Linked DNA regions of Astyanax mexicanus. The protein of the gene in region 3 purifies or fractionates together with the protein of the main gene of each other region. This does not show direct contact. Links are inferred from orthologs where the notes say so. Each region holds a gene or a part of one and is shown on either strand. Other genes may lie near its edges.

Evidence for each region. The genes of interacting proteins can lie anywhere in the genome.
Region 1: the proteins of aar2 (region 3) and ecd purify together in Homo sapiens (affinity purification with mass spectrometry; 3 studies listed by BioGRID and IntAct, counting the BioPlex papers as one, with this or other methods). This does not show direct contact. The link is inferred for Astyanax mexicanus from reciprocal best matches to the Homo sapiens genes AAR2 and ECD.
Region 2: the proteins of aar2 (region 3) and ddx23 purify together in Homo sapiens (affinity purification with mass spectrometry; 3 studies listed by BioGRID and IntAct, counting the BioPlex papers as one, with this or other methods). This does not show direct contact. The link is inferred for Astyanax mexicanus from reciprocal best matches to the Homo sapiens genes AAR2 and DDX23.
Region 4: the proteins of aar2 (region 3) and tssc4 purify together in Homo sapiens (affinity purification with mass spectrometry; 3 studies listed by BioGRID and IntAct, counting the BioPlex papers as one, with this or other methods). This does not show direct contact. The link is inferred for Astyanax mexicanus from reciprocal best matches to the Homo sapiens genes AAR2 and TSSC4.

What each region holds. Positions count from the first base shown.
Region 1 is NC_064421.1:32,506,647-32,513,709, forward strand, and holds the start of ecd (protein ecdysoneless homolog), read right to left. Parts: upstream 3,017-7,063; 5' UTR 2,911-3,016; intron 1,784-2,910; 5' UTR 1,758-1,783; coding exon 1,562-1,757; intron 1,212-1,561; coding exon 1,006-1,211; intron 1-1,005. Other genes in the region: thumpd2 (THUMP domain-containing protein 2), read left to right, coding at 3,708-3,812, 5,539-5,671, 6,795-7,033. UniProt on the Homo sapiens protein: Regulator of p53/TP53 stability and function. Inhibits MDM2-mediated degradation of p53/TP53 possibly by cooperating in part with TXNIP. May be involved transcriptional regulation. In vitro has intrinsic transactivation activity enhanced by EP300.
Region 2 is NC_064420.1:16,722,090-16,729,436, forward strand, and holds the start of ddx23 (probable ATP-dependent RNA helicase DDX23), read right to left. Parts: upstream 3,017-7,347; 5' UTR 2,887-3,016; intron 1-2,886. Other genes in the region: birc7 (baculoviral IAP repeat-containing protein 7), read left to right, coding at 4,960-5,533. UniProt on the Homo sapiens protein: Involved in pre-mRNA splicing and its phosphorylated form (by SRPK2) is required for spliceosomal B complex formation.
Region 3 is NC_064420.1:47,567,081-47,574,423, reverse strand, and holds the start of aar2 (protein AAR2 homolog), read right to left. Parts: upstream 3,001-7,343; 5' UTR 2,978-3,000; coding exon 2,896-2,977; intron 1,659-2,895; coding exon 888-1,658; intron 1-887. UniProt on the Homo sapiens protein: Component of the U5 snRNP complex that is required for spliceosome assembly and for pre-mRNA splicing.
Region 4 is NC_064430.1:8,175,769-8,182,725, reverse strand, and holds the start of tssc4 (protein TSSC4), read right to left. Parts: upstream 3,017-6,957; 5' UTR 2,916-3,016; intron 158-2,915; exon of another isoform or gene 156-157; 5' UTR 103-155; coding exon 29-102; exon of another isoform or gene 12-28; intron 1-11. Other genes in the region: anoctamin-5, read left to right, coding at 6,459-6,534. UniProt on the Homo sapiens protein: Protein associated with the U5 snRNP, during its maturation and its post-splicing recycling and which is required for spliceosomal tri-snRNP complex assembly in the nucleus.

The sequences.
Region 1 (7,063 bases), on a different chromosome or scaffold from region 3:
ACTTGAACTTTCTCACAGTCATCTTACAACCACAAACTTAAATGTATTTTATTGAGATTTCAAGTGATGGACAAACAAAAAGTAGCATATAATTATGAAGTGTAATGACAATGATACATGGTTTTCAATTTTTTTTCCAAATAAAAATCTGTGTGATGTGCAAAAGTGCCTCCAGTTGTTTTTTCCAGGATTGCTGGTGTTTAGCTTCATCCATCCTGCTATCAACACTGATCAGCTTCCCTGTCCGCGCTGACGAAAAGCAACCCCACAGCATGAGGCTGACACCACCACGTTTCACAGTGGGAATGGTTTGTTTAGGGTGATGAGCAGTGTTACTTTTCCACAACGACAGTGCTTTGCATGTAGGCAAAGAAGTTTAACTTTGGTCTTTTCTGACCACAGTACCTTTTTCCACATGTTTGATGTGTTGCTACATGACATGTGGAAAAGTGCAAACAGCAATTCTTATCTCTTTCTTTCTACAATGATTTTGCTTTCCTTGTAGAATACCTTTTCCATATTAGGATGATTGATTGAATAGTGCTCCTTGGGTGCTCAAAGCTTGGGATATGTTTTTATAGCCTAACTCTTATTTTAAACTTCTCTCCAAGTTTACCTCTGACCTGTCTGGTTAGTCCCTTTATGATATTGTTTGTTCATTAGTGTTCTCTAACAAACCACTGAGGCCTTTAAAGAACAGGTGTTTTTTATACTGAGTCTAAATTACACACAGCTGGACTTAATTAACAAATTAAGTTACTTTTATTTAGGGGGTTTCAGAGCAGTACTTTTGCACATCAAAGATTTTATTTGAATTTTGAAAACCATGTATGAATCTCGTGTTCTGCTTTAACAATTATGTGCTACGTTGTTTTGGTGTATCAATTAAAATCTCAATAAAATACATTTAAGTGTGTGGTTGTAAGGTAGCAAAATGTGAAAGAGTTCAAGGGGTATGAATACTTGTGCAAACCACAGTAAACATAATACCTCCTCTATGCTTACCCTGTTCTCACTGCTGTCGGGGTCGAGCCATTTGGGCAGATGTTCGGCCGCCTCAATCAGCAGGAACTGGCCGTCATTGTCATGGACAGTGGCGGCTAGTTGACTGAAGGTGCGTGTAAGATGTTTGAGCAGGTAAACGATGAACCACTCGTCCTCAACGTTATCACCAAACTCTGTGCTGCCTCCCAAGTGTGCTGGGACTCCCCCTAAAAAACAGATTTAGCACTGTTTAATAAACAGACACATGGCAACTCTAATAAAACATGACATTAATTAGTGGATTGTGAAGTTCCTTTAGTCATAATGGGTACATCCTTGTGTACACTACTCTCAAAGTTCACTTCAAGAATACACAGTAGTATTACTGTAGAGCTGCAACATCGTCGATTTTTTAAATTTGCTGACTCCAAATGTCAGTGTTGACTAACCGATAATTTGTTAAAAAAAACAACAACAACAACAACAACAACAACAACAACAACAACAACAACAACAACAACAACAACAACAACAACAACAACAACAAGCATTTAAAACTCAGGCTGTAGGCTCCTACCTTTCTCTGGACGGTAGCTGAGGTTGAACGGCTGCTGCTGCCAAATGTACTGCACCAACAGAGGAGCAACTTCAGCCAGCAGGTCCTCCTGAAGCTTTAGGAGGGTCTGTTCACTGGCCGCAGAGTCTGGCTGGACTAGAAAGAGCCTATAGTGAACCACATCCTCAGGCACAGGCACTTTCTTAAGAGGGTCCATCACAGTGGTTGGTAGTGCTGAGCAATCTATCAAAATAAGACAGTAATCAGTAGGGGTGTCACGATTCTCTAAATACTCGATTCGATTTTATTTCCGATTTTCTTTTTTCTTTTTTAACAGCAGAGATGCCTATGCCAGTTTTAGATTAGTCTATGGTCATTCATTGGTTTGATTCATCAACTTTACAATATCTTATTTCAAAAGGTGGGCTCGATATAAGTGATACGAATTGATACAAGTGATCTGTAATACACCACATTAGGCACTAATGGTCAAATTTAAATAATTCAATTAAGATATATATGTAATGCCATCTAGTGGCTTTTTTGGTAGCAGCAGTGTGCACTATTAAAACAGCAATATGCAACATAATAATGCAACAAAAAATATATATAAAAAAAGGAACAGTCATGTACAAAATAATAGAACAATTAGAGCCTTAACAAACTGAACTCTATCCTGCTATAACAGTTAAGCATGAAAAATAAGACTTTAAGACTTTTTCGGTCCCTGAGAATGACAATTTTTCTTTAACAAAAGATATATTATTAACTTTATCTAAGAGAAAGATGCTCCTTAAGGTACCACAACTATTAACATATTTGAGGCTAGACAAAACAACTGTTATTTTTATATTTTCAATTTTTTTTTGAGGAGATGAGAATGTCCACATTCTCTGGAGAAATGGCTGCTCTTTTCTACCCTATTCTATCTGTTTAAATAGAACAGTTTATTTAGGAGTTATACGAATTGTACAATAACACTGCTAGATAAATGTAATGTAAGTTACATGTATATATTACCCAGACAGCAAAGTTAATTTTTCCATCGCTAATACACTGAAACAACATTGATCTCTAATGTCAGAATGTATTATTTTGTGCACATCGAGCAGTAACAGCATCTGTTCCAGCATCGCTTTTTTTAAAGAGAAAAATCTGAATAAACTTTATCAATAAACCTGATCATGTTCCTTTAGCAGTTAGCTAGTCATGCAGTAACGTTATTAGTTAACATCATAACTGATGACTCCAACAAGAAAAACCTGAGTATAAACTCGGTTCTAAAAGATACAGAGGCGTCTTAAAAGTTCGGACGTGTCTATAAAGTGAGCAGGATTCAAAACCGGCTGATTTAAGAAGCTTTCACTTACGCTACTGTTTATTACTTCACTCCATCAGACATGTAGAGCTCATCCAGAACGCAGGCTTGATGTTTTGCACATGCGCACAACACACAACCTAAAGCTACTCACCAGCTTAGAAAGAGTCCGGTGTCAAATTAAAAGTTCTTGCAAGCGCAAAGATAAAATTGTAAATGCAGCTCAGATGTACAGCTCTGGAAGAAAAATTAAATAATAAGAGACCATTTCAGTTTCTGAAACAGTTTATCTGATTTAGCTATTTAAGGTCTATTTTTGAGTAAAATTAACATTGTTGTTTTATTCCATAAACTACAGACAGTTCTCCCAAATTTCAAATAAAAATATTTATTGTCATTTATTTTCAGAAAATGAAAAATGGCTGAAATAACAACAAAAAAAAAAAACTTTCAGACCTCAAATAATGCAAAGAAAAAAAAAAGTTTATATCCATTACTCTCTTTCTATATTACTTTTTTTTATTTCTAAGATTTCACATGGCATCCACACTGAACCATCAGCACATCAACATCTTCTGATCTAAGGTGTGAATTTATGTTTGTGTCTGAATCTTCAATATATAAAATAAAGAAAATAAAGAAAAACATTAAATAAAAAGTTGTGTCCAAACGTTTGACTGGTACTGTATTCCTAACTAATGCTTTTATTTTGGCAGGTCGCCTAGTCTAACCCGGATGTTGTATGGTTCTGTATGTCCTGCAGAGCCCATGCGTTCTTGTTTACATCAGACAGATCCTTCAGACTGATTTAATCTGTATTAATTCAGTATATTTATTTGTGTAGAGCTGATGATGAGAGGGGCGGGGGTCTCGGCGGGGTATTACTGCACTGCAGGCGGCGGTATGGAGACCTTCCTGCTGGATGAAGTCAAAAACAAACTGAAAGCTACTGAGGTAACTTACAGAGTTCTCCCCACAGTCCTGATATAAAGTGAAGTTAAAACCGATTTAAATCGAATTAATGTAAAGTAGAGTTAAAACTGAGTTAAACTGAATTAAACTCCCCACACTCCAGATATAACGTGGAGTTAAAACTGATTTAACCCGAATTAATGTAAAGTGGAGTTAAAATTGAGTTAAAATGAATGAAACTCTGCACACTCCACATACAAAGTGAAGTTAAAACTGAGTTAAACTGAATTAGGCTCCACACTCCAGATATAAAGTGGAGTTAAACTGTATTAGGCTCCAAACTCCAGATATAAAGTGGAGTTAAACTGCATTAGGCTCCAAACTCCAGATATAAATTGGAGTTAAAACTGAGTTAAACTGAATTAAACTCTCCACACTCCAGATAGAAAATAGAGTTAAAACAAGGTTAAACTGAATTAAACTCCCCATACTCCAGATAGAAAGTGGAGTTAAAACTGAGTTAAACTCACCACACTAGATAGAAAGTGGAGTTAAATCTGAGTTCAACTAAATTAAACTCACCACAATACAGATAGAAAGTGGAGTTAAAACTGAGTTAAACTGAATTAAACTCACCACACTTCATATAGAAAGTGGAGTTAAAACTGAGTTAAACTGAATTAAACCCACCACACTCCAGATAGAAAGTGGAGTCATAATTGAGTTAAACTGAATTAAACTCACCACTCTCCAGATAGAAAGTGGAGTTAAAACTGAATTACACTCACCACACTCCAGATATAAAGTAAGGTTAGGCTGAATTAAACTCAGCACATTTCAAATAGGAAGTGGTGTTAAAACTGAATTAAACTCACCACACTCCAGATTTACAGTGGTGTTAAAACGAGTTAAACCGCATTAAGCTCACCACAGTTCAAACCTTTAAAGTCCTTGCCACCGTACACTACTCACTGTCCACTTTATTATAAACACATAGCTACAGTTTTTACAGCTGTGTATTACTGGAAAGCAAAAAACTGTAATCAGCATTGTGTTATTACATTAGCATGATGTTATGTAATAATTAGGGGTGGGTGATATGATTATAAAATAATGTCAATATTTATTATTACAAAATATATATTATTTCAAGAACATACTACTGCAACAAAATTAATATATTTTTTTATTTGGTGATATTATTGCTTAGATTGCAGTTCCACAAGCTTTTGGCTAAGTGTTGGAGTCCAAAAACATTTGGCTGAATGGCGGAATGCAAATGCATTTAGCTAATAGTGTCCACAAACTTTTAGCTAAAATGAAGAGTGGCTAAACTTCTGCCCAAAAGACTGTTGGATAGTTTTATGAATATAAATCATAAAACTATAAATCATAAGCATATATGCTTGGTTCTACAACTCTGCTGAAATGTGTTTTTGTAGCTTAAAAATTGTGGGCTGTAGTTAGGTTACAAATTTCTGGTTGAAATTAAATTTACACATTTCAGGGCTTTTTTTTATGGGAGTTTGGGCCACAATGTTATGAGACTACAGCTTGTTATTATGATACTGCTGTTGCAATTATGATTATACATTTTTGTAATTATGACACAATGTTTTGTAATTATAAGAAAATACTTATTTATTAAAATATATCACTAAAACGGCATGTGGTGTGACAGAATAAGAGAGAATATGATATTTAGTAAACTGTTTAAACCATCGTTATTCTGATAAATGAACCTTTTACTTGTGTGTCTGTGTGTTAGGTGGAGCATATCCCTGGCCGAGTGTTTTTCCGCTGCACTTCAACTCTACAGCAATTGATGTTATTAAAATCTGCAGAGAGGCTCTTCCTGCTGCTGCGCAAGGCTCCTCCCATTACCCTGCCCAAAAATCCAGGTGTGCTGCTCGCATCATACAGGTGTGCAACAAACTTAAATGCGCAAGATTTGTAGTTACTTCTTATTAGAAATTAGAATATTATATAAGACTTAATTACTACTTTTGGCAGTGTGGGCTTTGTGGCAATTCCTGCTGGAAAATAAAATTTGCATATTTGTAAAAGTTGTCAGCAGAGGGAAGCATGAAGTGCTGTAAGATTTTTGGGGAAAACACTGCAGTGACTTTAGACTTGATAAAACACAGTGGATCAACACCAGCAGATGACATGACTCTCTAAACCATCACTGATCATCAGTTAATTTTACATTTCATTTGGAAATCATGGAACCAGAGTCTGGAGGAAGAGTGGAGAGACACACAGTCCAAACTGCTCGAGGTCTAGTGTGAAGTTTCCACAATCAGTGATGGTTTGAAGAGTCATGTCATCTTCTGGTTTTGGTACTCTCTGTTATATCAAGTCTAAAGTCAGTGCAGTGTTTTCCTAAAAAATATTACAGCACTTCATGCTTCCCTCTGCTGATAACTTTTATGGAGATGCAGATTTCATTTTCCAGCAGGACTTGGCACACTTCCCACACTGCCAAAAGTACCAATTGGTCTTATATACATATTCTAATTTTCTGAGACTCTGACTGACATCAACAATAAAATAAATGAACGCTTAAAATAGATCACTCTGTGTGTAATACATCTATATATATATATATATATATATAACTGAATTAATGAAATAAAGTAACTTTTCAACAATATTCTTTCCAATACAATACAGAACATCTGTGTTACTGAAAAGGGTAAAATATGGATTTATTGGTGTCAGATTCACAACACAAACGCTTACTGCAACTTTTCCGTTTATTGCATTAATATTATTCCAGTGTTGTAAAATAGCCACAAACTGCCATAAATAAATTTAAAACACAACTACACTACTGTAAACTGTAAGCTGTGTAACATAAGCTTACAGGAGAAAAAAATTAAAACCAAAATACATTAATTCAGTATTTAATGGCATATATTGATAATGAAAACTATACAATATATTGCTGTATCGATACATTCTCACACCTATATTAGGTCAATCACAAGTATGTCTTACTCTTGAAAATTCTTTCTTCAGCGAAAGCAGCGGACGTAATAAAACAGAGCATTGTGGGAAATCGAGATGTTTGGAGCCACACCCTCAAGTCCTGGACCTCCCTGCAGGCGGAGCTTAATGGCCCTCAGGGGCGGGGTCAGAAAAGAAAGAGGGATGAAGGAGAGAAGGAGGAGAACAGCAGTGAGAGTGGTCAGAGTCGCCCCACCTTCAGAGTCAGCTGCCGCTGCAGTGGAGCCATCGCTCGCTGCTACAACTCCCAGGTGTGTGTGTGGGGGAGGACATACAGAATT
Region 2 (7,347 bases), about 31 Mb from region 3:
TATCCACCATATTTAAAGCAGATTATAGTCAATCCTTTATGGTCCATCTCTGGAGTGCAAGTAAACAATGATTTCTGTTCAAATGTTTTTGGTCGAAAAAAAAAAAAAATATATATATACATATATATATATATATATATACATACATATATATATATATACATATATATATGTATGTATGTATATATATATATATATATATATATATATATATATATATATATATATATATTTTTTTTTTTTTTTTTTTTCCCCTCCACCTAATTCACGTTCCACCCATGGGAGCACCACATGAGAGCATCAGTAATGCGGATCTTTTCCACCTGATTCTGATCCTATGAAAATGACGTGACCGGCCCCGAATCACAATTACATTTACGGATCGAGGCATCCCTAGTGTTTTTGTCTGTCTTTTTTTTATGTATTGATTAGATTGAAGCATTTAGAAGTAGACTGCAGCCCTTATGGTGTTTAAAATGGTGTTTAAAACACAATCTACAATCCACTATTAAAACATTCAGTGGCGTAAAATAACTGTTTACCCCATAAAAATTTATTTTGTTTTTGCATTTTTGTGTCATACTTAAATTTTTCAGATCATCAAATAAACTTTAAAGGTCACCTTCCGCGAAAATCCGATTTTTCTTGTTTTTTGTGGAATACAGTAGGTCTCTCCGAGTTGAATGTGTACACCTGCACATTAAACTGTTTTGCAGCCCCCATTGTCTGCAGGAGCTAAGCAAAGAAATCCCCCCTCCCCCCCTCCGAAAAACGGGTGAATTTTGAATTATCTTTCTGCCTACGTAGGCAGAAACTCACAGACCAGCCCACCTTGGCTCGAGAAACTCCCAGAGGCGGAGCTGAAGCGACGCAACATCACAGCTCATCAGTTAGGAGGTGGGAGGCAGTGAGCGGCAGAGCGGTGGAGGGGCGTCGCAGTGCTCCTAGCCAATCAGAGGAGAGATATTTGCATGCTGTTTGCATGTATGAATATTCATGAGCAAAGCTGGAATCCGGTCATTTTGGACACACCCCTAAAACAGTCCATTAAAAAAGAGCTATACAGAGACACCTGAGCACTTTTTTTTTACAAAAACGGCTCACATGTCATTCATTCATACTAGAGACCACAACTAGACATTTTAAAATGAAAGAAAAAAACGACGGAAGGTGAGCTTTAATATCAGACAAATATAACTTACGTAAATATAAAAAGCACTTTTTAAAATAGTGATTTCATTTATTAAGGGAAAATAACTATCCAAACCAATCTAGCTCCCCATAAATCACATGGAAAGCTGTGTTCAATTTCACTAACCACAACCAGGCCTGAATACTACCAGACCTGTAGAATCAAAAAATCACTTAAATAGAACCTTTCTGATAACATGAAGCAGCTAAAAGATTAAATTAAATTAAATTATTTTTTTTTATATTTACTACGGTTATATTTGCCTGATATTACAGTTTGTTTGATAATCTGAGTATTATCAGTACAACAAAAAAGCAAAACAAAAGAAATCTGCAAGGTTTCAACACTGGCCACACTACTACAATTGGCCGACACTGGCCACAGTTATGCTGGACAATATATCAATATTTCATCGTATTGTGATCTTGTGATTTTTTTTTATTGTATTGATAAAGAACTCTGACCCAAGTGTACATTTAATTAAAGAGAGTTTAAAAAATATGTTAAATCATGTGCAGCAAAAATGTTAACCTAAACAAATCATTGTACTAAATATTAAAGAGTATTTGAATACATTAATGTTTACATAGGATCTCCGGTGGATTTGGCGTTGTACAGAGACTCTAAGTCTGGGTAAGTGGCTTAACTACACTTAGCAGGGCATTACAGTAGAGTAACATATGACGTTACAAAGACTGTTTTTAGTGTAGAAATAACTTTATTTTAAAACATTTCTAACTGTTGTCTGCCTTACTGCCTCGCAGTGCTGGTCGCCAATCAGATGCGATATGTTTGCATGTATGACCTTTCATGAGCAAGAGCCAAAATCATATCTTTCCAGCCCCCACCCTCCACCTGACTAAAGCAGCGTTATACCTGATCACCAGAGCACTTTTTCACACAAAACAGCTCACAGGGCATTCATTTATACTAGAGACCACAACCACACATTTTAAAATTGATGCAAAAACGATGGAATGAGAGCTTTAAGAATCTGACATTCCCGGTTAATTTTGTCTGTGGACCAAAACACAATAAAGATAATAATATTTACAGGACATATAGCGTTAGCTTAGCTTACCTAACAGTAAATGATCTCCCATAACACTTCAACGTTAGGTTAACTGAGTTAGTAGCTACAGAGCTTGTTTTTCACCGGCCACTAAGCACACTTAACTTTGTGTAGTATTACTGGACCAAATGTAGCGTTAGTAACAATATTAACATTTACATTTAACGGAAAGAAAATGTTATTAATACGATAGTTATGTTACGTAACCGCTAGCGATAACTTTATCCGACACGAGTTTAAAACAGCATATCCTGACTTTACACTCATTATCAGCACGAACACTTAGATTAAGAGAAAACGGGTCACAGTTAACCAGGTAAACTCGGACAGACCCGACAGTAAAACGTGGTAATTCTATAATTTCTACAGAAATACAGGAATAATGTATTTATAATCGCGGTTTATCCGCCGTGGTAACGTTAGTTGGGTTACCGCTGCTCTGTTAGCTAAGCTAGTTAGCCTTAGCTAAGCTAGTTAGCGTTAGCTAAGCTGCACCGCTCGCGGGGAAACGCTGTAATTAATTGCACGGTCATTTTCACCACCTTTAAAACACGAGCAGTAACTCCACACAGAGCCCGCAGTTCCGACACTCGGTCAAACCGAGTTCAACTCAATAACTTACATTTCTGCTGAAGAAACAACACGCTTACGAACACCGTTCGTTTCACTGAGCCGCCATACTCTCCGACATCAACATGTGACGAACTTCCTGTAGAGGATCATGGGAAATGTAGTCCATCAAAGAAAGTTCTTCACTGGAACCTAAAGCAACAAAACATTTTAGTCTTCCAAATCTGTGTCTGTATAGCAATATAAAGCACACAAAGGGAATAAACACACTCCTACTTTACACCGAAATATCTTATTTTAATTATCAGTAGTCCTAACTTGTTAATATATATTTTTTTTCGAGATTTATCAGTACTTTTTGCACATTAGATACAGTTTTATTCGAAGTGAGGGTGGGTAGACCTCTGGGTAAATTGAATAATTATTTTAATAAATTGAATAATACAATTAAAAATATATATATTTTTTAAAGAGCAGGGTTATCCTTAGATGACATTGTGGGAATGACAGAGAATTCTCAGACATGTTTAGATAGCTTCATATTTTATGAAAATATCTAAATAAATAAAGTCCAATATATTATAAATAATAAAAAAATATATATATATATTTTTTATATAATATATTGGACTTTATTTATTTAGATATTTTCATAAAATATGAAGCTATCTAAACATGTCTGAGAATTCTCTGTCATTCCCACAATGTCATCTAAGGATAACCCTGCTCTTTAAAAAAAATAACTTAGACTTCAGTAATATCTTCATACTGTTTTGATAAAACAGGACTGGTACAGTATGATACTGGTTTTGGTAAAATAGTATCATACTGTTGTGGTAAAATATCACGGGAAGTAAAATCATTTTAGAAAATTAAAATAAACAGTCACTGTGAACAATTCAGCATGTCCCCAAATCCAGGTCAATCATGTTTTTATAAATTTAACAATTTAAAGCAATATTGTCCACCTTGTCACTGTCCTCCTTCATGTCACACTGTTGCCATAACAGGATGGACTCATGCATGACTGGAAATAAAACATTAAATAAAAAAAAAAGTGAAAAAGCTGAAAAACTTTTGTTAAACGGACAATATGTAGTTTTGTTTTTTGTAAAATACATGTCTACCATGTTTACCAAACATAACGACCTGTTGTGAGGGTGTAAGGCAGTTTTTTGACTTTTGTTGCAGCAAGTCATTAAACAGTACATTAAAGTAAATAGATATATAGGAAAATATTATATAATGTGTCTTCAAACACCATGACAGAGCAGTGTTAAATCAATGAAATATTAAATGAAACCGTGTTGACACATTATTTTCTTTAGAACACAGTAAAACATAATTTAAAGTAAAAAAAAGAAAGTAGAAAATGACTACATATTGTTCCTGTTGGTTTTGAGACAAAAAGACACAGTATTCTAATAATGACCCAGAAAGTAATGGAATGAGAAAGTATCCAAATTATTTAAAACTTTTTTATTTCTAACCAATTTAAGACAGCTTGTAACTGTTTTTGACCTTTTACCTTTTTATTTATTCTGTCCTTTTATTTATTTTATTTTCTGCTCTACCTTTGGGCCTTTTCATTTTTATTTATCTTATTTTCTGTTTTACCTTTGTATTTTATTTTAACCGTTTATTTTTTTATCATTTATTAGTGTTATTTTTTATGATTCTAATTAATCTATCTATCTATCTATCTATCTATCTATCTATCTATCTATCTATCTATCTATCTATCTATCTATCTATCTATCTATCTATCTATCTATCTATCTATGCCAAAACTTCTTCTCAAAAGTTTTTTAAACGTTTACCATTCCCCCTGACATCCCTGCCATATGTATACAAACAAACAAATCCGTACGTTTATTAATTAATAAAAATAAACTGTAGTGTGTGTGTGTGTGTGTGTGTTGTGTTTGAGTGTCTCTAGTAAACGTGTGCAGGGGCGCGTGTGTGTTATTGTGGTATTGTATGTGTGTGTGTGTGGTAGAGTGTGTGAGTGTTATACACTGTGTTGTGTGTGTGTTTGTTAGGGGGGGGATCTGTGTTGGTTCTGTTCTAGAACTCCGGATGGTGCCGCGCGCTCGCTCGGGTCACAGGCTGTGCTGTGTGATATATGGCCAGCGGGGGCTTCGGGCCGTACCTGAATGGTCCGTTATGGACCGGGAGCGGAATGAGCGGCACGGAGGATCAGCATGGCGGCGGGGAACTGAGCCCCGTACTAAGCCCCGGACTGAGCCCCGGGATGCACAGCGAGGAGGAGCGGCTCCGCAGCTTCGAGCACTGGGCCACGGACTCCCCGGTCAGCCCGGCGGACCTCGCCCGGGCCGGCTTCTACTTTCTGGGCTACGGGGACACGGTGCAGTGCTTCTGCTGCGACGGCGTGCTGCGGTGCTGGGTCAGCGGGGACGAGCCGCTCAGAGAACACAAGCGACACTTCCCGACCTGCGGCTTCATACTGGGGCGGAGCGTGGGGAACATCCCCCGGCCCCCCGGCTCTCCGGACTCGGTGGACGGGCAGCTGCTCAGCCAGCTCCAGAGGATGGGGGTGGACGAGCAGGTCTCCGTCGGACAGGCCGTGTACCCGGAGATGGAGGCCGAGGACACCCGGCTCACCACCTTTCAAAACTGGCCGCCGGGGGCCTCAGTCCAGCCGGACACTCTGGCGCAGGCGGGCTTCTTCTACACAGGTCCGTATATCCACCACCAGCACCACCACCGTATAGAGCTGCTCCGAGTCAGACTCAGCGTTATTACTATATTATACTTCATACTACAGACATCCTGCTGTATTATAGAGCTGTCTGACCCACAAACATGAGGATGTGCTTTTAGAGAAACTTTTACTGAGCTATGTTTCGTTTCGTGATTTTAGGCTTCCATCCTTTTTTTACTCGTGATTGAACCGATTCACTTCATAAGAGTCAAAACTCTCCATAAGATTCTGGTAAAATTCTAATAAATAACTTACAAAATACTATAAATACTATAATAAAAATAGATTTTTGGGAATTGCAAGGATGATTAGTTAGTATAATTAGTTAGTAAAGGTACAGTTATTGTTTGTGTAAAATATTATTTATTATTTTTTTTTAAATTATAAAAAAAGAATTGCGCTCATTAAGTCAAAATGGTCAGCAAATATAATTCCTTATTTTTTACCAAAACATTTAAAGAGAAATTCAGTTTGACTAAAAAACAAAATTTGATTCACTTCATTAGAGTCAAAGTCCTCAGAAGATTAGCGATTCTAGTAAACTTCCAATAACTCAATAACATCAATAACTCAAACAGTCTAAAACAATAATACAACATATTAAAACAATCTGAAATATTTTAGAAATGTATTAATTTTTGGGGATTCCAAATTTGACACATAGTTAGTAAAATACAGGCATCTTTTTGTTTAAGTTTATAGTACATTTTAATATTTGGCATCACTAAGTCATAAAATGGTCATCAAATTAAATGCCTTTTTAATTTTACACTTTATAACAGACACATATTGTTTTATTACTAAAACATATAAGAAAATTTGTTCGACTAAAAAATAAATGTTGTTTTGTGTAAATAATATTTCATTATTTACAATAAAGTGACATTTACATATCAAAACCAATCTGCCCTGTAAACAGCTTTATCAGAAAAAAAAAAAATTAAATAGATTTTTCCGAAAAACTTAAAAATAACAATATAATAAATACATAAATGTTATTATTTTCTGAGTGTTTTAGTGCACACAGAACAATTAAAAGTAAGGGTCATCAGAATCAGAGTCATATAGAGAGGATGATGTCAGCGTATCAGACTTGTGGTTCAATCGGTCCGTTTAAAAGAGTCGATTCTGCAGGATGAATCTCCGCCCACCAGCACTCAGAGTGAAACTGGGCTTTGAGGCGAGTTCTCCTTTTGTTTTCGTTGCCACGTGGTCATGTGAGCAGAATGCTCGAGACCTCGCGAGCTATGCCTCCACTTTGTGGCTCTGTTTCATCCTGGTAAAGCTGCACTATAGAAACACAAGGCAGAGTTTACTGTAGAAATGTGATAAATGTGATAAACTAAGAGAGATAGAGTATAGTGTATAAGTTTATACAGCGTCTGTACCAAATTAAGAAAAATATTACTGAACAGTAAACTTGATAGTGTTAAATTAACCTTAACCGAGTTAAATTTAACACTGCCCTGGATAACATATGGTCCCACAGTGTATTTTAGAGTAAATTCAACACTGTATAGGGTCTCTATGTAAATCAGCTCTATGTAACAATAATTATTGTTAATAAATTTTAGTCCACAAACTATCAAAAGTGCTAATTATAAAATAAGATTATATTATGTTACCTATGTCAGAAAAAACCTATTTGTCCTAAACAAGCTTTGTTTATAACAGGAGAGAATATGAATAACTGCTAAGTCAACAGCCTCCAACTTCCAACCCAACACAAAGAGAGTGAATAACGCTCCACCAGGGAAATCACAACTAAATTGGCAGAGGCTGATAAAA
Region 3 (7,343 bases):
GTGTCCTTCTGTTAAGATCCTCTTGTTCTTGGTCTTTGTTAAATACAGCAGGATCACCAGAGCACAACATTTTAAAATGAATGAAAAAAGATGACCGTCAATCTGAATTATTTTGGTTTGTTGAACACTTTTAAGTCCCTTATGTGTTCCTTCACATTCTAGATCACTTCACTATTCAATTACAATGGAAATGATGGCAAACTTTTGACTGGTACACTACATGTGTAGTATTGAATATTGGAATTTGCCCAGAATTCCCACATTGGAGCATCCCTAACAGGCATGTATTCATGTGAAGAACTTTTTAAAGTCTATTTTTTATCATAAAATTATAACTCCCATTGTCTTTGAGATGTTTGCACGCTCTTTATTCCAAAATATAAACACATTCGGTAACACTTTTTATGAATCCTGTATTCATAATGCATTCATAATGCATTGTATGACATGCACAATACCTTCTAATGACTGTTATAAGCCTGTATAATAACTTGTAAGTACTTACAGCAACATTCATAACACATTATAAACTACAAGTATAAGGGTTTATGAAGAAAGGGCTTACAACCCTATAATATCTGTTCATAAGAACATTTTACAACGTAGTGTTGTAATGCACTATAACACATATGGTATATTTTGGTACAACACTACATTGTATGATGTTCTTATATACAGATATTATAAGGCAGTGTGAGCCCTTTCTTTATACTTGTAGTTTACTAGTACCTATGTTATTATACAGCCTTATTACAGTCATTATAAGGTATTATGCATGTCATATAATGCATTATGAATGCATTTATAATGCAATTATGAATACAGGGTTCATAGGAAGTGTTACCAAACATTCATACAGCAGAACTAGTTAAAACAGCTATTCCTACCCAGAACGTTGAGTGGCTGGTCTTTATGATGGTCCTCCAGCAGGCAGTTGAGGGCGTAGCTGAGGTCCATGCTGCACTGGGTGATCTGAGCGGGCGTGGCTCCCGGAGGATACGTCTGTTTGGGGATCTGTGAGAACCGGAGCTCGGTTCCCTCCCTCTGCTTCATCCTGGGGAGCCGGTCCAGCCCCTCCTTCATGGTCTGGCACTGCGTGTCGTTGCGGGGAAGGTTCTGCTCGGCTCGGTCTTTGGTGAGCTTCAGCTGGAGCTCGGGAACGACGTCGCTGAAGGCGCAGACTCGCCCGCTGAGCGGCTGCAGGGCCACGGCCACCTCCTGACTCAGCTTATCCGTCAGAGACACCCACTTCCTCAGCGTGTCGTAGGGGTACGCCCCAAGGTACGAGTCCAGCTCACGAAGCCCCGCCTTCACTCGAGCAACGTCTTCTGGATTCTCAGAGTCGGAGAAGTCCAGATCCTCCTCCTGTTTGTCCCAGTGGGCCAGAAGTAGCTCCCGGGGCTTCAGGAAGAGGAAGAGACCCTTCCTGGGGCCCACCTCCCCACCAGAGCTTTCACTGCTGACAGAGCTGTAGTGGAGAAAGTGCATCCCGGGGGGGATCATCTTCACCCCGCGGAACCGGGGACCCACCTGCCAGCTCTTGTAGTCGATACCCAGCTCTGTTCCTTCAGGAACGCCCAGCAGAACCAACGTAGCTCCTTCTTCAAACAGTCCTAGAGCCACCTCAGGGTCCATGTCTGCTCCTGCTTCTGCCATTCCTGAAGAAACAGAGCAGAAGTTCAAGCACATCTTATAATAATTACAAAAAACAACTTATTCCTATAGGTTTATTTCTATTACAGAGGTGGACCAATCTTTTGTTAGGAGTCCTGCCCAAGGACTTGTACCCAGACCTGGAATTGAACCTCAGTCTCCCATATAGTAGCTCAAAGGCAGGTGGTGTTATCCACTGCACCACATCAAACACTTAGATCGGTGCTGGACGATAATTACTTTTACTTTTTTAGAATCATCATCTACATATTTTTAACAGATATTTGCTGGTATATTAATTGGAACACTGGAAAAGGACCAGGCGATGCTTGCGGTGCTACTAAGCAATCCATGCATCCAATCTATCTATCCACCAATCTATCATAGACTCATCTATTCATCCATCCATCTATAATCTACCATCTATCCATTAACTGATCCACACATATACCATCCATCCATTCACCCACCCATCTATGTATCCATCCATCATCTACCCATCTATCCACCAATCTATCAATTCCCCATCTAGCCATCCATCAATCAATTCTTTCATCCATCCATCTACTTGACCATTCATATACTTATCCATCTAAACATTCCTCTATTCATCCATGCATCTACTTATCCATCTATCCATTCATCTACTCGTCCATCTAAACATTCATCTATTCATCCACCCATTCATATATCCATCTACCCATCCATCTAGCCATTCATCTACTTATTTATCTACTTATTCATCTACCATCCATTTATTTATCCATCTACCCATCCATCAACCCATTCATCTATCCATCTACCCATTCATCTATTCATTCACCCATTCATCTACCCATTAATCTATCCATCTACTCATTCATCTATTCATCCACCCATTAATCTACCCATTAATCTATCCATCTACTCATTCATCTATCTATCTACTCATCCATCTATTTATTCATCCACACATGCATCTACCCATCCACCTATCTATTCATCCATCCATCCATCTATACATCTTTTAATGAGTGATGAACAGTTAAATAAAGCTCCAGCACAGTGAAATAATACGAAATACATGTGAGTAAAGCTTTTAATAAACTAAATCTCTCTCTAAACTGAACACACATGTACATCTACAGTAATCTATAAGAGAGTGGTAGAATTATTATAGTTAAATATTAACCGGCGCTGAAAAAATAAAGTCATTTATTTATCTAATAAATAGAAACAGATTTAATTAATAAGCGGATTTACCCGGACTTACTGCTGCAGTGCAGAGAATAGAGGAAATATTAAATACAGTAAATAAACACAGATCCAAACACACACCGTTCATACAACGCCAGCTACACTAAAAACTTCCGGTTCAAAAGCTCGACAAACTTCAAAATAAGAGTCAGAACAAAAAAATTACTTATATAAAATATGTATCTCCTGTTTGTATTCTATTTTCATATTTCATAGCCAGTACTGTGGACTTGCAGTGTAGAATACTACTACTACTTCTAATAATAATAATTATTATTATTATTAATTATTAGTGGGAACCACTTTCACCTAAAAGCACTGTAAATGTAGATTCAGAGCATCAACAATAACCGATTCTGTCTATTAAACAACGTAAATAAAGTTTAGTTTTTATTTTTGTGACAGTATTATATAATGAAATGAATAAAGAAATGCTTGTAAACATGAAATATGAAATAAATTATTACATTGAGAAATAGTTTTTTAATATACAAGCATACAAGTCTGCAAGTTTACATTACGATACATATTTTTCTTTTTTGTTTTAATGAAACTAACCAATACAAAAACTAATTCAAATATTTTTCTTTAATGCTTCTATACAGCGCCTCTTATGTATTCGTTTTCCGGTAAAGGACTTTTATTTTGTACGGAGACCTTTATTGTGCGAAGTGGCTTTTATTTTGTACGTTTCCGGCAGCTGGTGTAGTGTTAGCTTTGGGAGAAGCAGCAGCAGCAGATCCTCCAAACTTACCCCCCCCCACTCTCAGCTCAATACCTGCATTACCCTCTACCTGCGCACACCTGAGCTTCTGACCCGGATTACCGCGCGCGCGCAGCTCCAGCATGGGCTTCAGAAAGAAGAACAAGAGCCCCCCGGTTCTGAGCCACGAGTTTGTGATCCAGAATCACGCCGATATGGTTTCGTGTGTGGCGATGATCATCCTGCTGGGGCTGATGTTCGAGGTGAGCTTTAATCCGGGTTTAAACCGGTTAAACTGAGACTAAACCCCTGTTTTAAACCCCTGATTAACCAATCAATACTAAAACCCTCATTTAAACCACTCATTTGAACCCCTAATTAACCAATCAGAGCTAAACCTCTGATTTAAACCATTATTAACCATTCAGATATAAATCCCTGATTTAAACTCCTAATTACCCAATCAGAGCTAAACCACTGATTAACCAATCAGAGCAAAACTCCTAATTTAAACACTTGATTAACCAGTCAGAGCCCAGACCTATTCCTCAATACTGATACCCAATTATAATTTAGGCAGATAATTATCTGATTATAATTTAATAGCTAACAAATTAGTGCCCATTCCACCAATAGAAAGCTTATTAATGTTAACCAATAAGAGCACAGACCTATTTATAAATTCAGAGAGCAGCTCATCCATGATTGTTTCTTATTGTGGACACATGACTGTAAATATTTTAAGGTTAAAATCATGATCTAACATAAATAACAAGGATTTCTTTCAGTGCTATGTTACACAGCTTTAAAGGGTCTGCATTTTTGCAGGGTGTTCTCATTGGTTGCTTGGAATCCCTTCTTCTTGAATAGCACAGTTAGACATATCTACCCAACAAACAAATAAGTGCCCATTCCACCAGTAGAAAGCTTATCAATTTTAACCCATAAGAGCCTAGACCCATTTCATAAAATTGATGCCAAATCTTTTCTTTAATTTTCAAATATTTTTCTGTTTGTATTGTATTTCTGTAGTCGTTAAGATTTGCTTTTTGATTTCAGGTAACGGCAAAGTTTGCCATCATGTTCATCACTGTCCAGTACAATGTCACTCAAACATCAGGTGGGTCTATAGCCTTCTTTCATTTTAGGTTAATTTATGGTTGAGCCTTGATTTATACTTGGTTAATTCTTGGTTGAACCTTTTTCATTTTTGATTTAGTCAGGTTTGAGGCTTGATTGAGCCTTGATTACTTTTCGGTTCAGTCTTGGTTGAGGTTTGCGTAAATCTTGTTTCATTATAGGTTGAGCCTTGATTGAGCCTTAGTTGAGCCATGGTTCATTCTTGGATGAGTCTTGGCTTAGCTTTGGTTCATTTTTGGTTGAGCCTTGGTTCATTCCTAGTTGAGCCTTGATTACTACTCGGTTCAGTCTTGGTTGAGGCTTGCGTAAACCTTGTTTCATTCTTGGTTGAGCCTTAATTGAGCCTTAGTTGAGCCTTGGTTCATTCTTGGATGAGCCTTGGCTTAGCTTTGGTTCATTTTTGGTTGAGCCTTGGTTCATTCTTAGTTGAGCCTTGATTACTATTCGGTTCATTCTTGGTTCAGCCTTGATTGAGCCTTAGTTGAGCCTTGGTTCATTCTTGATTGAGCCTTGGTTCATTCTTGATTGAGCCTTGGTTTAGCTTTGGTTGAGCCTTAGTTTAGCTTTGGTTGAGCATTGGTTTATTCTTGGTTGAGCCTTGGTTTAGTCTCAGTTTAACCTTGGTGGAGTCTGTCTGTTGGATTTAGTCATGATTTGAGTCTTGGTTCAGTCTTGTTTTACCAGTAATGGTTGAGCCATGGTTGAACCTTGGTTCATTCTCGGATCAGTTTTGGTTGAGCCTTGGTTGAGCCTTGTTTTTTTTTTGGCTTAATCTTGGATAAGGCTTGGGTCAATCTTGGCTGAGCCTTCATTCAGCTTTGGTTTGGTCTTGGGCAAAATCTGCATTTTGCTCCTATGTTTATTGTTAATTTAGAAGAGAAGCCTGAGCCGGTGAACTTTTACCAGTACGGACCGAAGGACATCGCCACGGTCTTCTTCTACCTGCTCATCGCCATCATCCTCCACGCCCTGATCCAGGAATACGTGCTGGACGTAAGTGATGGGTTGGGTTCTCTGTGTGTTTGAATATGTAAAGCTTTCTGACATGTAGAAGAAGAGATAAATGGACAATTATTGTTTGATTAATGGAAAAATTACATTATTATTATAATTGTTTTGTAGAAGAACAACTGCCAGATATACATTGTGTCAAAAAATCTTTAAAAACGTGATAGCACTGCTTTGTCAAATTATTAATTGTTATTTATATGCAACAAATTTACTTTAATGCAGAGGTTTTAAGTCAGTGTATATTTTATTAAGCCAATCTTATGGCCATTTGAGGCTTAATTTAAAAATAGTGTGTAAATTGTGTGAAAAACCCTGGAAATCACAGGTGCTCACCATAATAATGAAATCATGATACTGTGATTTTGCGATACTATACTAATATATATATCACAAGAAAATACATAATAATATTGGCATGTTACACTATAGAAAAAAAATATATTTTTGCTATTTTTGAAAGCAGTTTATTTTATCTTTGTTTTATTATGTCGTGTATTTACTTAATCGTCTGAATTTAAAGGTATAAACATGCACTAAATAAGCTGCACTTATATGTTGTGGTAGATTTGTAGATTCTAAAGCTCAATCACACACAGATTTCCATAACATACTACTATACTGGCTTTAGCTCTACTGACTGAAGCTGATAGTGCTTTAAACTCAGCATGTTTCCTTAATATCTGTTGAAACAGGTGCATCTCAGAAAATTAGAATATCATTGAAAAGTTAATTTATTTTAATAATTTAGTTTAAAATGTGAAACTCATATATTATATAGATGTAGTAAACACAAAATGATCTGTTTTAAGTGTTTATTTCTTTTATTGTTGATGATTGTGGCTTACAGCCAATGAAAACCCAAAAATCAGTGTCTCAGAAAATTAGAATATTATATATAAGACCAATTGGTACTTTCTGCAGTGTGCCAAGTCCTGCTGGAAAATGAAATCCACATCTCTATAAAAGTTGTCAGTAGCAGAGGGAAGCTGTAAGATATGAAGTGCTGTAAGATTTTGTGGGAAAACAAAACTGCACTGACTTTAGACTTGATAATAAAACACAGTGGATCAACACCAGCAGATGACATGTCTCTCCAAACCATCACTGATTGGTGGAAACTTCACACTAGACCTCGAGCAGTTTGGACTGTGTGTCTCTCCACTCTTCCTCCAGACTCGAAATGTAAAATGTACTGATGATCAGTGATGGTTTGGAGAGTCATGGTTAAGATGTTATGATGTGTATCTGAACTCCAGCAGTGTTTAATGTGTAGATGTTTGTAACGTGGTTGTTTATTGTGATGTTGTTTGTTGTGATGTGATGTTGTTTGTTTTGGTCTCTCTCTGTGCAGAAGATTAACCGGCGGCTGCACTTGTCTAAAACGAAGCACAGTAAGTTTAATGAGTCGGGTCAGCTGGCAGCGTTCTACCTGTTCTCCTTCATCTGGGGCTGCAGCATCCTCACCGCCGTGAGTCCTGATCACCACCACCTCACCACTACTCACTAACCTGCACATTTCTGTCTGTCTGTCTGTCTCTGTCTGTGCGTCTCTGTCTGTGCGTCTCTCTATCTGTCTGTCGCTGTGTCTGTCTGTCTGTGC
Region 4 (6,957 bases), on a different chromosome or scaffold from region 3:
TGGTATCTTACTGGGGTTGAAGACTCACAGATTCTGCGAGATTTCCTGCTCGGAAAAGATTATCACTTTCTGGGAAGAGCCATCGAGTCTCAGCACAGCCATAGTGTTGAGTTGTGAGCCAGTTCTTGGATGTGAGGATACGATGCAGACACTACCTAAGATATGAAGGTAACAAAAAAAAAAAAAAAAAAAAAAAACACATTTAAAGGATTAGTTAACCACTTTGAATAAAACCCCTAAAGTATCCAAGTAGTAAAATTATATTTAGAAACTAAAAAAAAAAAAAAAAGTTGAAAAATTGATTCTATCCTATGCCCGATACAGTGATATAGCCTTTCAGGATATTAACATAGACTCCTACCGGTGTTCTGCCGAGTTGTGCTACTCTGTGAAAAGGTGCTACCTTAGTTTATACTTATTTTTATATTAGGATAAAATACCAGAAAGGCACAGTTTTTTGAAAAGCTCCCAGCAGAAGTTTTGGTAGGATATTTGTAGGGCTGGACCCGAATATTCGGGTATTCGGATATTCGTTCGTTGAGTAGGTATTCGGTTTTTAATTTTGGTATTCGGATATTCGTTTTTTTTCTCCTTTCCAGAGTTCCACCTCACTCTAACCACTTCTGTTTTCGCGGGTCCCGTCAGAATATCTTGCGCGCGGGACAGAACTGAACTGTTATTGGCTGGAGCGGGAGTTTAATCCAGACGATGCGGGAGCAAATTAATAAATAGTTAAGAAAACTGTAATAATTGTAAAAAAAAAAAAAAACCTAAAGAAAACTCTCAACGCGCAGGATGGACCGACACACACACGCACACACCGATGGTGTTTGGACTGGGGTAAGGAACGGGACCGCACTATGTGGCGGGCGGGCGCGGGATTAAAAGAAGCAATTTTTTTGCGGAGCGGTAACGAGACAGAAACGCGGGAGCGTGGAAGAGTGGGTTTAAAAATCAGTCTCGCGCAGACCTCTATTATACATGATAAAAAAAAATGCAGGCTCTTCGAAACTGATTTATATAATAAAACGTAAGGGGTAATGTGGCAACAGTAGGGGCTAAATCGGTTACAAAAGCCTGGCCTACAAAAATGATGTCTGAACGAATTTCCTCTTATCTAATATAATTTAAAATGGTTTAAAAATATAAAATAATTTCTAAGCAAACGAAATATTTAATATTGAGCTTATAGCCCAAGTGCAAAAATACAAAATCAGTAATACGGCTATGCCCTGCACAATGCTTAAACCGAAATAGACCAAGTACAATAACGTCATTAACAATGACTTTCCTCTACTCTAATATAATTTAACATGGTTTAAAATATAAAATAATTTCTAAACAAACGAAATATTTAATATTGAGCTTATAGCCCAAGTGCAAAAATACAAAATCAGTAATATGCCCTGCACAATCCTTTAACCGAAATAGACCAAGTACAGTTTACAATGACTGTCCTCTAATATAATTACCAATGTTTAAGAATATAAAATACTTCCTGAACAAACGTTTTTTTTGTTTGTTTTTTTAAGCAAATAGCCTAAGTGTGAAAACACAAACAGCAATTTACTGGGCTGGCTTGCACAGCGGAGAAACCGTGCAGCAGCCTCCTAGCCTGCTTACGCAGCGGATAAGCCGCGTGTGGGGCAGCAGAAATTCCGGGATGAAAACACAAAGAAATCTGAGCTAAAAACACAGAAAAAATATGGGGGATAAAAACACCAAAAATCCGGGGTGAATATGTCTCGTCGGTCAGAGCAAATTGAACATTTTTCAGTGGATTAAAGGGGCCGTGATTTGCTTTTTTTTTATTTATTTTTTTTTACCTCTTTTTTTAAAAACGAATATTCGAATATTCGCTTCGAATCAGTGCCGAATATCCGGAGCTCAAAAAAACGCTATTCGGGCCAGCCCTAGATATTTGGAATGCCTGAAGGGAACAGTTAACAGGGAACAACAGTTTCTTTTTTTTGTTATTTATTTATTATTTCTGGTATTTTGTTAAAATACCAGAAAGGCACAGTTTTTTGAAAAGCTCCCAGCAGAAGTTTTGGTAGGATATTTGGAATGCCTGAAGGGAACAGTTAACAGGGAACAACAGTTTCTTTTTTTGTTATTTATTGTCTCATTATTACTTGTATGATTAACTTTATTAGCTTTATTATTAACTTTACACGTGTGTAACACTCTGGCAGCTGGTTCTGCTTATTAAATGCGACAAAGTAAAACAGATTTAACATAAAAACACAAAAAAAGAAAACTATTTTTAAAAATGTGGGCATACGCATGCGCAATGGTTGTAAGAAGCACAAATTGGTTGGTAGCACATCTCGACAGAACACCGGGAGCATTTTTTAATGTGGTGTTTTTTTTTTTGCCTGTTAATATTCACTTGGGTAGCACGGTTTATCAGGGTAGCACAACGCGACACAACACCAGCTCTTTCCTAGTCAACAAAAACATCTAAGTTAACGTTACTTGTAGTTATCACTACAGCTATATTAAGGCAAATCTGAGGAAAACATTAAATGGAATAGAAAAAGGTATACGCTTAGTCAATACAAACACACAAAAACACAATTAAAATGGACAAGAAATGTCTATATCTAGTATTTAACGGCAGTAGGTTAGTTATCTAACCTGCTAACCTCACTATCCTTCACAGCATGTAAGTTACTTAGTTATCTGACTAAGCTAGCTAAGTTAGCTATGCTGGAGGCTAACAGCTAAGCTAGCTGTATGTATATATATCGATTTCTGGTATAATTCAGACCACTAATCTATGTCTTTCCAACTGCCGGACAGAACCAAGATAGCAACTTTACTCAGAGAGCAATAACTCAGCTATATAAAGGAGTTTAATCCCAATATAAGACGTTACTTTCTCCCATATCTAGCTCAGCAGCTACGCTTACCTTTCCTTCTTCGTGTCTTCAGATCAACTCACAGTCGCGTACTGACCTCTACTGGCCCACAACAGACACACCTGTGCATCTCAAAAGAATTAAATATCACTGAAAAGTTACCTTATTTCAGTATAAACATGTAAAATACTAATAGATAGATAGATAGATAGATAGATAGATAGATAGATAGATAGATAGATAGATAGATAGATAGATAGATAGATAGATAGATAGATAAGACTCAGACAAATCAAAACACAGAAGAATAGAAATTATATAAGGCTATAAAAACCTAACTATACAAGGTAAGGATCTATCTGTAAAAGGAGCAGTGCAGAGTAAAGTGCAATGTGCAATGACATTGATTACGAAAGTGACTGATGTGACGTAGAAATATATATATGCATCCGTTAGAAGATAGTTCTAAAAAAGAAAAAAAGAATGTGAAAATGTGAATACTCAATCATGAGTAAAGTGTACTTGAATGTAAGTGAGGTTGGGGAAGTGTTAGTGTAAATAATTAAGTGGTTGAATAATGTCCATGTGGTGTGACTGGATTAAACTCAGTCGGCAGCAGCATCCCGTCCCCGATGAGAGGAGTTAAAGAGTCTGATGGCTCTCGGAACGAAGGATTTTCTAAGTCTGTCTGTTGTGCAGCTCTGTGACAGCAGTCTGCCACTGAACACACTCCTCTGCTTCATGATGGTGGTGTGAAGTGGGTAACTATCATTGTTCATGATAGAAAGCAGTTTATCCAAAGTCCTTCTCTCAGCTATTGTAACCAGAGAGTCCAGCTCCATTCCAACCACTGCCCCGGCCCTCCTGACTAGCTTGTCCAACCGTGATGCATCTCTCCTCTTCATGTTGCCTCCCCAGCACACCACAGCATAGAAGAGAATACTGGCCACGATTGATTGGTAGAACATCTACAGAAGCTTCTTACAGATGTTAAAGGATGTTAATATATTATATAGATGTATTACACACAGAGTGATCTATTTTAAGAGGTTATTTTTATTTTTGAAGATTATGGCTTATAGCCAATAAAAACCCATTAATCAGTGTCTCAGAAAATTTGAATATTATATAAGACTAATTTGTACTTTTGTCAGCTAGGAAAGTGTGCTGGAAGTCCTGCTGGAAAATGAAATCCCCATCTTCATAAAATGTACGATTTTCTGAGGGGAAAAAGGCACTGACTTTAGACCAACACTAGCAGATGAGATGTCTCTCCAAACCATCACAGATCATCAGTAATTTTTACATTTCATTTGTAAATGAAATGTAAAAGCGAGCAGATTCTGGAGGAAGAGGGGAGAGACACACAGTGCAAGCTGCTTGAGGTCTAGTGTGAAGTTTCCACCAATCAGTGATGGTTTGGAGAGACATGTCATCTGCTGGTGTTGATCCACTGTGTTTTATCAAGTCAAAAGACCTTTCTTATATAAGATATATATTTATAAAAAAGGGTCTCAGAAAAGATCTAGGACCATTTTTGCCATCACTACTGGTCGGTCGGTACAGGGAGCGCCTCTGTCATGTACTGCGGGTTTCTATGCAGCAGGGGGAGACACTGCCCGTTCTTCACAGTCACTGGAGCTGTTGTTTGCCAGCTGTTCCAGCTGTTTAGTGAGATATCATTCCTTTAAGTCTTCATTAAAGAAAAGCCCTAGGCTGCTTTAGATTTGAGAGGGGATGTGAGCAGATGTGATGCAGAGGCTATAATGCTAAAGTGCTAAAGGGATGTGATCTGCAAGAGCATGTGCTTTTAAATTATCTATCACAGCTGGGTCACATGGGGTATAGGCTTCTCCACTGGTACTGTAAACACACCTGCCTAATTATAAATGCACACTGGTGAAAAAAAGTATAGTTTTACTGTATTTTCTTTGTGTATTTGTCTGAATAAATCTCTATATAAGTGAAATATATTAATTATTATTATTATTTTATTATTATTATTTTTTTTTTTCAATTTGTAGACAACAAATTCAATGTACAAGACTAACTGTAAAATATAAAAATATATTCCAAGATAAAATGCAGGAACATTTTTTTTGCTTTACTGTGATTTGCATGGAGAGAGCTAGGGAATATATTACTGTTACAGTATGTTACAGTATTGTCATTGAAATTACAGCCCAAAAATTTGCAGTTCAGTTTACTGGTTTGGAAACGTGTTATTCTGCCATGTTTGGAAATGCATGAAAGCATAGGTTTCATAGATTTTACCAAATTGAATACCTCTGGAATATAATAAAGAGGAAGATGGATGATCACAAGCCATCACACCAAGCTGAACTGCTTAAATTTTTGCATCAGGAGTGGCATGGAGTTATTTAAAAGCAGTGTGTAAAACTGGTGGAGGAGAACATACTGTGGCGTGGAAGAGGAAGGAAGACCCGTGAGACTCATGCTGAACGCTCAACAGCTCCTTTATTGAACCGGCTTGCCACTCACTTACAGCCTTTAACAAGACTAGGAGAGCTAAAACCATTTTCCCACAGAACTCAAATAGCCCAAAGGCCACCAACCCAGCTGTGTGTCTCCCAGATGGCAGATCCAGAGTGGTGCCCACCCTCTCTGCATAACCCCTCCCAAGGGAGATGCCCCACCCCTGTCATCCTTGCACACAGGAGAACAGAACCATGCCTACAGGCAGCCACACACACAACCCAGAGCCGCCACAATACCATGCATTAAAACAGTGATTAAAACCAGGGTTATTTCATCAAATATTGATTTCTGAACTTTAAAACTTACAAAACTTTATGTAAACGAACTTGTTTTCTTTGCATTATTTGAGGCCAAATATGGCAAATAAATGCTTTAAATGACAATATTTTTCATTGGAATTTGGGAGAAATGTTGTCTGTAGTTTATAGAATAAAACAACAATGTTCATTTTACTTAGACACATATCAGAGAAACTGATTCAGAAACTGAAGAGTTTCTAATTTTTTCAGAGCTGTATATGTAATTATGTAGTAAACAGTAAAACTGAAAAGTGTTTGGCCTCCACAATCCCATGATCTTAACCTGATAAGCTGAGACGGAGATTTGGGATAAAAATACAATAGAGATCACAGCAATGTATGTTTTTTTATTAATGATAAAAGAAAATATACATTGTATTTTATTACATACAAATATAATAATATACAGATATTTGTTATGCATATTTTATTATTTTGTGTAAAATCTTTGGCACATAATTTAACCTTCCATACACACACCTCCTCATACACACACACCTCCTCATATTTACACACACACGTATGCCGACGTAAAGTAGCTCCCCCCACTCCTCAGCCACTCCCCTTTAAGGCCAACATCGCTCCCTATTCTTCTGTATGAGCCACAATCCGGTCGCTGCTCGATCTCAGGAGGATTTCCTGCGCACAGCTGGAGGAGCTTTCAGCAGCTTCAGCATGGACTGAATGGATTGTAGGAATCTTTAAGGACTATAGGGAGCGCGTTCAACCCTTTATCAACCAGGAGAAGCCCTGGATCCAGTAACCCTGCCTTTTATCAGAGGAATATTCAGTGAAAATGAAGAGAATAACGGGGAAAACCAAAGATGCCACTCTGATCGAGATGACCAACACGGCGGACGCGCATGTAGAAGGTAAACCCTGCTTTACCAAACACCCTTCTACATAATAATAAACCCCGGCTCTGATACACTGATTTACACCAGTCTGAGCGGAGAGAATGGACTGGCTCGTGTGAGAGAGACGCTTTGTGGTGAAAACAGACAGTCTCCTGTATTTATGACACGTTTAATTAGATTAAATGACCTCCTGTGGTTAGATTAAGCAATAGACTGGACTACAGTAAGGCTGGTTTTGGTTAGAAGCCCACTAAAACTAAGATAGAAAGCTAGCTAGCTAGATAGATAGATAGATAGCTTTAAATACCTTAAATACCTGTACATCGTGCTAGGCTAGCTCACAAGCTTAAACAGTGTCTGAAAGTTCAGTCTGTTAGTTTGTGGTTAAACTCTCTGGATAGGGGTTTCCTACCTTTTCATCTCATTGTTTTGAATGAA